Coturnix japonica: one gene and its partners. The protein of the gene in region 1 purifies or fractionates together with the protein of each later gene. This does not show direct contact. Links are inferred from orthologs where the notes say so. Each region holds a gene or a part of one and is shown in the gene's direction. Other genes may lie near its edges.

Evidence for each region. The genes of interacting proteins can lie anywhere in the genome.
Region 2: the proteins of ANKRD28 (region 1) and PPP6R2 purify together in Homo sapiens (co-immunoprecipitation; 4 studies listed by BioGRID and IntAct, counting the BioPlex papers as one, with this or other methods). This does not show direct contact. The link is inferred for Coturnix japonica from reciprocal best matches to the Homo sapiens genes ANKRD28 and PPP6R2.
Region 3: the proteins of ANKRD28 (region 1) and PPP6R3 purify together in Homo sapiens (co-immunoprecipitation; 3 studies listed by BioGRID and IntAct, with this or other methods). This does not show direct contact. The link is inferred for Coturnix japonica from reciprocal best matches to the Homo sapiens genes ANKRD28 and PPP6R3.

What each region holds. Positions count from the first base shown.
Region 1 is NC_029517.1:31,164,963-31,168,530, reverse strand, and holds part of ANKRD28 (serine/threonine-protein phosphatase 6 regulatory ankyrin repeat subunit A), read left to right. Parts: intron 1-43; coding exon 44-131; intron 132-773; coding exon 774-891; intron 892-1,169; coding exon 1,170-1,389; intron 1,390-1,790; coding exon 1,791-1,878; intron 1,879-1,974; coding exon 1,975-2,058; intron 2,059-2,546; coding exon 2,547-2,692; intron 2,693-2,868; coding exon 2,869-2,951; intron 2,952-3,568. UniProt on the Homo sapiens protein: Regulatory subunit of protein phosphatase 6 (PP6) that may be involved in the recognition of phosphoprotein substrates. Involved in the PP6-mediated dephosphorylation of NFKBIE opposing its degradation in response to TNF-alpha.
Region 2 is NC_029516.1:601,870-605,437, forward strand, and holds part of PPP6R2 (serine/threonine-protein phosphatase 6 regulatory subunit 2), read left to right. Parts: intron 1-458; coding exon 459-572; intron 573-1,533; coding exon 1,534-1,660; intron 1,661-2,850; coding exon 2,851-3,003; intron 3,004-3,237; coding exon 3,238-3,441; intron 3,442-3,568. UniProt on the Homo sapiens protein: Regulatory subunit of protein phosphatase 6 (PP6). May function as a scaffolding PP6 subunit. Involved in the PP6-mediated dephosphorylation of NFKBIE opposing its degradation in response to TNF-alpha.
Region 3 is NC_029520.1:8,199,176-8,202,743, reverse strand, and holds part of PPP6R3 (serine/threonine-protein phosphatase 6 regulatory subunit 3), read left to right. Parts: intron 1-77; coding exon 78-132; intron 133-845; coding exon 846-976; intron 977-1,816; coding exon 1,817-1,935; intron 1,936-3,358; coding exon 3,359-3,512; intron 3,513-3,568.

The sequences.
Region 1 (3,568 bases):
TTGAAGACAATTCTCATAAAACTGATATTTTGGTGTTTTACAGCTACAAACGGTCACTCTGAATGTTTGCGACTATTGATAGGAAATGCGGAACCACAGAATGCAGTGGATATTCAAGATGGAAATGGACAGTAAGTTTTAAAAATGTACATTCTAATATTCACAAATTGCTTCACTTTATAAAAGGGCAAAAATAAGATTTTACATAGGTGATTTTTAATTTGTTGCTATCAAAGGAGGTGATATTTGAACTAAGACAAACAAGTGTGTATTTTGCAATAAGCAGCTTTGGCAGTGAAAAATATCTTGTTCAGTTGGGAATATTTCAGCCAGGAATTCTGAATTAGTGGAAATAAATTAATTTTCTTGAATCTCCTGGTACTCTTGGAATTAAGGTGGTGCTACAGAAGCTCATTGATAGTCTAAATTTTCAGTGTTCTTTGGTAGTGCCTGGTGCCAGGATAAGAGGAAACAGCTACAAACTGAAACACAGGGAGTTCCATCTGAGTATCAGAAGGTTTTTCTTTACTGTGAGGGTGACAGAGCACAGAGGCTGCCCCAAAAAGGTTATATAGTCTCCTCTGTTAGCATCTTCAAAAGCCACCTGGACATGAGCTTGAGTAGCCTGATCTGGGTGTTCCTGCTGGAGCAGGGGTTGGACCTGGTAAACCCAAAGGTCTCTGCCAACCTCAGCCGTTCTGTGTGTGTTCCAGCTGAGCATTGGCCTGTTAGATTTCCGTGTAAATTACGCTTTAATTTCCCTCTCTGTGTAGGACTCCTTTGATGTTGTCCGTTCTCAATGGGCACACGGACTGTGTTTATTCACTTCTTAACAAAGGAGCAAACGTTGATGCCAAAGATAAGTGGGGAAGGACAGCATTACACAGAGGGGTAAGAGAATATTTCCTTTCTTTCTTCTCCAGTATTGTACATGCTGAGTTAAAATACGGGCTTAGTAATTCTGTTGGATTTCCTGAGTCTTGTAATGTTGCTGTAAAAGCTGTTGACTGCAGGAGACCCAAAATACGACTTTTTGTCATGGGGTGGGGGAGATTGTTAATAGATAGAATAAAATTGTTATATGTGCCAAATAAGTTTTGGTTTTCTGGTTTTTTTTCCGTTGTTCACTACATGAACATTTGCAAACTTGTTTCATTTCTTTCTCACAGGCAGTCACTGGGCATGAGGAATGTGTGGAAGCACTACTTCAACATGGTGCTAAGTCCTTATTAAGAGACTGTAGGGGGCGAACCCCTATACATTTGTCAGCTGCTTGTGGACATATAGGTGTTCTAGGAGCTCTGTTGCAGTCAGCTACATCTGTGGATGCAGTACCTACAATAGCAGACAATCATGGCTATACATCGCTGCACTGGGCCTGTTATAATGGTAAACACGGAAGCGTCCTGTGGGGGAATGTATCTCTCTGTAGGCATAGTGTCTCATAAAGGACTTCCAGTACTGCTAAAGCATTCTGAATCTGAATTAAGTATTCAGCAGTGAAGTTAAAATTGAGGATCAAATAGTGGAGATGCTGGCCGTTTTCACATTCTTGTATACTTTCTCCTGACAAGCACATATTCTTTTTAATGCAAAACCTCTCCTTCATCAAATGGCGTGACAGTTAAATACATACAATTGGTAATACTGATAGAAGTTTCTTATACTTTAAAACTACTTTAAAACTCGAGAATAAAGTGTTGCTTAATCTGATTTAGATAAATATTTTTTCTAAATCATAAGTAGGTCTTTTCCCTTCTTCTTCACTCCTATCTCTGCATTTGCTTCAGGTCACGACAGCTGTGTAGAACTCCTCCTGGAACAAGAAGTTTTCCAGAAAATGGAAGGGAACGCTTTCAGTCCATTGCATTGTGCTGTGTAAGGAAAAGCAAAATTATTCTTCATAGACTTTATCACAGTATTTAACAAAAGATTTTTCATTCTGTAAATAACAGCTTGTTTAATTCTTCGTAGGATAAATGACAATGAAGGTGCTGCAGAAATGTTAATTGATACATTAGGTGCTGGTATTGTAAATTCAACAGATTCAAAGGGAAGGTAAGTGTGCATCTGTATGGTGGAAGAATGTATGTAGTGCTTGCATTCACTCTGCTAAATTCTGTTGTTGTTTGTGTTTTTTTTCTATGACTACTTAGATTATTTCCTGTTTCCCCCTTTTTTGTTCTTTGAAGATTATTTTAAATCCCGAGTAAGAAAAAAATCGAGATTTTTAAAAAAATCTAGTTCTGATTCAGTAAACCTGAATTGGCTTTTTGTCATGTAGGCACAGTTAAAATTGCATCCCTTTGTGACTATTATTTTATGTATTATTTTATGTTTTTTTCTCTGAATCAAATTGTATCCATACTGTGAACTACACAGATCAGAGTTATGTATTTGAAACTTGAAGGTAATTTCCCGAAGGCACCTGTCTCTTAACATTCCTGATCCCAACTATCAATGGGAATGACTGCCCACTCTTTGTACCTACAGTCAGGTCTGTCTGTAGGAAGCACAACTGAGCATGACCGTGTGATCTGTTTCAGGACTCCTCTTCATGCAGCAGCTTTTACAGATCACGTTGAGTGTCTACAGCTTCTACTCAGTCACAATGCTCAAGTAAATGCTGTAGATGCTTCTGGGAAAACACCTTTAATGATGGCTGCAGAAAATGGACAGACAAATACTGTTGGTAAAGTATCTATTTCTGCTGTTCAGTGTGTTGATCTTACAACAGATGAAGCTACCTTATCAGTTGATCATTGTGGATATATTTTGTGAAAATAACATATTCATTTTGCACAAATGTGAACTGTTAAGACTTTACAGACTGTGCTTTCAGTTAATACAAACCTTTATTTCTTGCAGAGGTGCTGGTTAGCAGTGCTAAGGCTGATCTGACTTTGCAAGATAGTTGTAAGAACACAGCACTCCATTTGGCTTGCAGCAAGGTATATGCATAGTCTGACCTCTCTGGTACTTTGTGTTATCAATCATTGTTTGTAGATAAGTGTGCTCTTGCAACCCAGAAGGCCAACTGTTTTCTGGGCTGCATTAAAAAACACGTGGCCATCAGAGAGGGGGAAGTGGTTGTCCCACTCTCTCTACTCAGCTCTTGTGAGGCCCCATCTGGAGCACTGCATCCAGGCCTGGGGTCCCCAGTACAAGAAAGATGCTGAGCTCTTGGAGCAGGTCTAGGGGAGGGCCACTAAAATGATCAGGGGGCTGGAACACCTCTTGTATCAGAAAGTGTTGAAGGAACTGGGTTTGTTTAGCTTTGAAAAGAGAAGGCTCTGGGAAGACCTCATTGTGGCCTTTCAATACTTGAAGGGAGCATATAAACAAGAAGGGGAACAGCTGTTTACGAGAGTGGATGGGACAAGAGGGAATGGTTTTAAACTAAGGTTTAGGTTAAATAATTAGGAGAAATTACTTGAAATACTTGAAGAGAGCATATAAACAAGAAGGGGAACAGCTGTTTACAAGGGTGGATAGTGACAGGACAAGGGGAAATGGTTTTAAACTAAGACAGGTTTAGGTCAAATAATTAGGAGGAATTTTTTCACTC
Region 2 (3,568 bases), on another chromosome or scaffold:
ACTGACCTTTTCCATCTATGAACGCTAAATTAACCATCACTTAAGACCACCGGGAGCCACGGTTGGAATCACACAGCCCTCGTGTTCATCCCGCCTTGATTTAATCACACACAGCAGATATAGCAGGGAGAAAAGTGGGGCCTTTGCCCTGTGTTTGTCATTTCAGGTGGCCTTTGAATGTCAAATTCATGTTTAAATGCTTGTAAAGTCCATTATTGTCATTCATTGTCACTCCAGCATTGGTCAGTACTGCACTTGGGGGTCTCAGCCCTCACACTGTTAGAGTTTGGAAGGCAGCTTCCCTTGCTTTAAAGGCTCAAAGAGGTGGTGAAAGGCTTCGGATCATTCAAGAAGGTGGAAGCTAAGACTTAATAACAAGAAAACCCAGAAATGGGTATTTTTATGATTAAAAGCAGCTGTTGAATGTGACTAATAACCCAAATGCGTCTGCCCGACAGGCAGGAATGTGTGGAGCAACTCCTGAAGAATATGTTTGATGGAGAGCAGACTGAGAACTGCATCGTGAATGGGACGCAGGTTCTGCTGACATTGCTGGAGACGAGGCGCTCTGGGTAAGTCAACACGCTTCGATCCTGAATAGAAGGGTTTTAGCTATTCAAATCTGGTTTGTAATGAAGGATATAGCAAAGGTGAAGGTCTGGGGAGGGAGATGCTGAGAATCTCGCTTTCTTCTTTTAAAGGAGGAAATAGGAAGAGTGAAGGAGGCGATGGGAGGTTGGGGAGGGTTAGAGGGAGGAACTGACAGGAGATGGTGTTGGGTCGTTGTTAGGCAGCTGTGCATGGTTCATAGAATGGCCTGGGTTGCAAAGGCCCACAATGATCATCCCATTCCAACCCCCTGCTATGTGCAGGGTCACCCACCAGGCTGCCCAGAGCCACGTCCAGCCTGGCTTTAAATGCCTGCAGGGCTGGGGCATCCACAACCTCCTTGGGCAACCAGTGCATCACCACCCTGGGTTATGGCTGAAAAGCTGAGATGCTGCATCTCCTGTGCCTTGTGCCCTGCATCTCCGAGGGCTAATGACTTCCAGATATAGAGGTGCCCGTGTAGGTTGTTGGTGCTTTGCTTCAGTGCAAGCATTTCTCTTATTCCAATGTGAGACTGTGCTGTTAGAAGGGTCTGCTGATAATGCACTGCTAACCAGCAGAGGTGTGAGCCCAACTGCCCCCTTAGTATTATAGTGCACTCATTAGTGGCTTTAACAAACATTCAGTGGCACAATTTACTCCTTAAACATCTGTAAAGCTGGTAAGCACTGTAGTAATTCATCTTTGTCAGCCCCGCAGACAGCTTCTCCTCTGCCTTCCCACTCATTCACAATTATGATGATGTGAATATCATCTTGCAATTAACATAATGAGATGATGATGTAGTTACCTTCCGTGGCTGTCAGTGATCGTTCTTCACGTTCAGAGTTCTCTTTCAAGAGGAAATAGCCGATATGGGCAGTGTGAGTGGAGACCTATATGAGGTTTGGCCAAGCCCTGATTTGCGTGTTTTCTTTGTTGCAGGGTGGAAGGACTGATGGACTCATACACTCAGGGATTTGAAAGGTCTTACACTGTCAATAGCAGCATCTTACACGGCATTGAACCCAGGCTAAAAGATTTCCACCAGCTGCTGCTCAGCCCTCCCAAGGTAACGTGGCTCAGCCTTCCCCAGGAGCAAACAGCTGCTGGATGGATGGGGGGGGATTCCTCATCCTTATTTATGGGTTTTGTGAGGACTTTCTGAAAGCACCAAGTGTTGGCAAGGCAAACTCTACCTTAAATCTTTACAAGAAGGATTCACGCTTCAGGTTTGTAATACGAGTGCTTAGGAAGTTCAGGCAAAGTGTGAGGTTTTGGCAATTTGGATGGAGGAATCCCAGGTATATATAGAGACTGGGAGGAGCAGAGCTTGAGAGCAGCCCTGCAGAGAAGGAGCTGGGGGTGCTGGTGGCTGGAGAACTGAGCAGCAGCCAGCAGGGTGCTATTACAGCTTGGAGAGCAAATGGCATCATGGGCTCCATCAGCAGAGGGTAGGGCCAGCAGGGACAGGGAGGGATTGTCCCTCTCTGCTCTGCCCCATCTGCAGCTCTGCATCCAGGTGTGGACCCCTAATGTCCCCAAGATGGACAGGGAGCTGTTGGGAAGGGTCCATTGGAAGCCACAAAGATGCTCAGAGGGCTGCAGCACCTCCCCTACAAAGACAGGCTAGGGAGCTGGGGTGTGTTTCAGCATGGAGAAGAGAAGGCTGCGGGGTGACCTCATTGCAGCCTGCCAGGACCTGAAGGGAGCCTACAGACAGGAGGGGAGTCAGCTCTTTGAATGGGGGGATAACAGCAGGACAAGGGGAAATGGTTTGGAGTGGAAGGAGGGAAGATTGAGGTTGGATGTGGGGGGATATTGTTGATAGAGAGTGTTGGGTGCTGGACCAGCTGCCAGAGAGGATGTGGATGCCCCGTCCATCCCTGGAGGTGTTTAGTGCCAGGTTGGATGGGGCCCTGGGCAGCCTGGGCTGCTGTTCATTGTGGAGGTTGGTGGCCCTGCATGTAGCGGGGGGTTGGAGCTTCATGATCCTTGTGGTCCCTTCCAACCCAACCATGCTGTGGGTGAGGGGGGCACAGAGGAGGGAACACAGAGTCAATGGGTGTTTTGATCTTATGTTTGGGAAGTTCAGACCTCACAGCGCTCTCAGGTCACTGCTGAGTGGGAAGACACCATAGTTTTGCCTGCATGGAGTATTTATGTCTGAAGATGAGATGGTTCTATTTAATCAACCAGTTGTATGTCTGCAATGGGGGATTCATTGACCTTCACTGAGGTTCTCCACCATTTCTCCTATAGAAAACAGCGATCCTGACCACAATTGGAGTCCTGGAGGAGCCGCTGGGCAACGCTCGTCTTCACGGCTCTCGCCTGATCGCTGCTCTGCTCCACACAAACACTCCCAGTATTAATCAGGAACTATGCAGACTCAGTACCATGGATTTATTACTTGTGAGTAACACTATGTGGCACTGCAGGGGGTGGGGGTGGGGAATGGCTTCAGGCTGAGAGTGTCTTCGCTTTCCCTGTTGGGCACAGTGTGGTTTGTGTGCAGGTCACGTTATGTCCATATCCTACTAAAGGATACCAAGCAATTAATAGGGCAATGTTCTGACATCATTTGATTGCCAGAAGTGGGATGATGGATCCAGAATGACTTTCTTCTTGTTTCTCTTTTTGTTCCAGGATTTATTTTTTAAATACACGTGGAATAACTTTTTGCATTTCCAAGTGGAATTGTCCATAGCAGCTATTCTCTCACACTCTGTGCAAGAGGGAAGAACTACTGCCAATGACCCAGAAAGCAGAGAAGAGGTGCTGAATGGAAACGTGACCACAGAGAACCAAGAAACTCCAGAGAACAACACGGAGAATATCATGGTTACACATGTGAGTCAGGTCACATCGGCAGGGAATTCAGAATCATAGAATGGCCCAGGTTGGAAGGGACCTCAAGGATAACAAAGCTCCAACAGCCCATCACATGCAGGGCCACCAACATCCACATTGAACAGCA
Region 3 (3,568 bases), on another chromosome or scaffold:
GACTTGTGAAAGTGATGTGTCCTTGTGTCATAGCATCGTCTTTCCTTAGTGTATTTCATGCATCATTTATTTTGCAGCGTTTCTTTTGATCGAGTCTCAGACATCAACTTTACCCTCAATACAAATGAAAGTGTAAGTATGCATTCTTGTGCCTGCAGAAAAATTGCTGCCTCTTAAACTTCTGAGTGACCTTTAAGTTTTGTTAGTGGCTTTTGTTTATTGTTTTATGACGTACGTATAACGTTAGGAAAGTAACTACACCTTATTCCTGCCTTGTGGGGTTTTTCTAGTTAGATTACTTTATTGCTGTTCTTTATGGTTAATATTAAGCAAGTGCTTCTAATTTGTGTGTCCAGGTTCAAGAAAAGGCTTGGATCTAGTTAGTGCAGACTGCGCACGCATTTTGAACACAGACGCTGTTTCAGCATTCTGCCAAGATAGTGGTGACGGAAAGTGAAGAACAGAGACTTCTAGCATATGTGCTGCATGTCAGTTGAGCTGAAATGATACAAACTACAAACAATAAAGCTGGAATATTTGCTGTTGCAGTTTTGTGGAAAGCTCTTTGTTGTCACTTACTCACCATTCTGAATTGCGATGGAGCCTCCCAGCAGTTGTTGGATGAGTGCTCTCAGTGTGTTAGCGGTTGAGTAAAGCAAATTCCACTGTATGCTTTCCTGGGAAGCATAAAGCTGTCAATGTCTTCTGGTTTTCCAGTGCTTACTGGGTGGTGCTTTTTCTTCCCCACAAGTTAAAGATTCTCTTCAAACCAATCATTTATTTCCAAAATACTTGAAGTAGAATAATCAATTATAAAGAGAATTTTATATTTTTCCCGTATTTAGGGCAACATAGCATTGTTTGAGGCATGCTGTAAGGAGCGGATACAGCAGTTTGATGATGGTGGTTCAGACGAAGAAGACATCTGGGAAGAAAAACATATTGCATTTACACCAGAGTCCCAGAGACGTTCCAGGTAAGACATTTGTGTTTAGCACTATAGCGAGCCCTTTCTCAGGTTGGCTGTTTGCACAGGCTGTCCATCTTCATTTCCATTCTTTAGAGAAGATGGTAGAGGGATAACTATTGTCTTTGTTTGAGCCTTAATTTGCTTAACGTTGCTATCCTGACTACTCAGTTCTTTCTGCATCAAAGCACGTTTCCTTTTTTTTTCCCTCTGCTTGGCCCAAGGCAGCCCTACCTGTGTAGGCAGACCTTGCTATCCTACAATGCTACTAGGTTTGGAGTATCCACTTCTGTTGCCATAGTTGCACCTAATCATATTGCAGCTGTGGATAAAACTATACAGGCAGCTGCACTGAGGGAAAGGAACATCTGTTCCCCAGAACTCAGGGCTATGCAGCCTCCGATGGCTTCTGAATTTTGTCCCAGGATAGCTTTGGATTTTCTGACCTTCCTGTGATTTGAGTCCCAAACCACATGTGCTTTTTCTGTTGTGGCCTTTGGAGTGCATGGGGCTAAGCCCTGTACACAAGCAGTTGTTTTGTATGTTGGCATTGTGCATGCCTAGGTGATGTGTTTCAAGGATGCGCTTAGATATGTCATTACCTAACTGTTAATGCTGGTTGTGCTGACTAGGAAGGGAGATTCACCTCTAGGTTTCAAAATATATATGTAGGAGGACAGACTGGAATACATTTGGGTTTGTTTTCAAAATAACTTGTTGTCTTACATTGATCTTGAAAAGAGTTACAATTTAGCAATAACTGCTGTGTTTCTATTAAGCCTCAAACTCTCTAGCATTCTTTTGTGCCCAGGATCTAATCCCATGTAAACTGTCTCTTTGTTTTTTAAGTTCGGGCAGTACGGACAGTGAGGAAAGTACTGACTCTGAAGAAGAGGATGGAACAAAACAAGATCTGTTTGAATCGCACGCCAGTACGGAGGACAAAATGGAAGTAGACTTAAACGAACGTACGTAGCTTTTCTGCCAACTGCTTGGAATTATAGGAAGGTGCTACATTTAGCACAGAGTTATTTTGTAAGAGTTTTCCTCCTATTGTTTTTTATTCCAAGTATCTTAACCTCTCTCACTGTAAAGACCGTGTGCTGCACAGTTATGCAGGTACTGGGGAATCAAAATTCTTTACATGTCCTGAGCAAGTTACTGCAGTCTCTCTAAAATTCACACCTTACTCTTCAAGAGGGAAAACTGAGTAGAAATCAGAATGGGAAAAATGAAAATCAATTTACGTATCTCGTATGCTTGCATACCTGATAGGTTGTTAATCTCGGAGCATAAAGTATGGCTGTTCTTAGTAGAAGTTTTTCAGACCAACACTTCATCTTAAAATGTTCTTTTAAAACGCATTCTACAGAAGGGAAATAGATTTAGATCGGTGTCGTTTCGTATGTGAATAATCCTGTTTACAGTGTGTATCAGCAGGGCTCTTCCTTGGAAAATTAACTGTTGTAATTGGCCTAAGAGTTCTCATAATCAAGTTGTAAACTAAACTTGCTTTACTTAAACTGGCAACGTCTGTAGGCAAAAGCCCTGTGTTTATCTAGACTGTAAGGAATTAGAAACTACAATAGAAGGAATAGTTAAGGGTTTTCTTTTCTTTTGTCAGATTGGTGTCGTTGGCATCTGTGTGTCAAACAAGTTTTGATCCATGTGGGTCTCCTCCCATATCTTCCTGGGTTGGAATTTCTAATTGCTAGTCAGAGCTTCCTTTTCAGCCTGTTTTTTTGTATGTAAGTGTTGATGAAGAAAATGTTTCCCTTGGGTAGGTGATGTATTTTGAATTGACCTATCCTAAATTAGATTTTCTTAAGTCCAGACTGCTCCAAAATTTAATATCCCAGTAAATATTTTAAAGTTATAAGGGGTTTTAAGCTTTTCTGAAACTTAGCAGTGCTGCTAATGCATGAGATAGTAGAGACCGCCTGTACCTGCATTGTCTTGTTCATTTTCTGTGCTGAGGAAAATGTGCATAGGAAACTGAAGAAGGGATGGAAAACCTGAAGGTGCTGTTTGTTTCGTTTTTTAAGTGTAGAAACTAGCGCTGAAAATCGACAACAACCATTAATGTTAGGTTAAGGAGTAAAGTGCAACTGCACTTGTAATCTAATGTAGTTTTTGTGTTCCTCAGATTTATGCTATTGATTTTTCTCTCAGTACTGAGAGTTACCAATTCTGCCTTACTAGCAGAATTTCTCATAGAGAATACATTCGTGCTTTAACTACGTAGAGAATCCATTTGCATGTGCTTTAAAATGCAGTTAAGAATTTTGCTGCTCTTTTTGGAATGTGCACATAGAGAATGGGTGAGTTAGGCATATGTACATTTGTATTCTTCAAATTGGTTCCTAATAAATTTGCTGGTTGGTTTTCTAGCACCAAATTGGTCAGCTAACTTTGATGTACCCATGGAGACTGCGCATGGTACCAATCTGGATTCTGTTGGGTCTGATGTGTGGAGTACAGAAGAACCTATGCCAGCCAAAGAAACTGGCTGGGCTTCTTTTTCAGAGTTCACATCCTCCTTGAGGTAAGAACAGTGATGATACAGGGCGAGTATTGTTGGGGTGTGCCTCTACCCAAGGC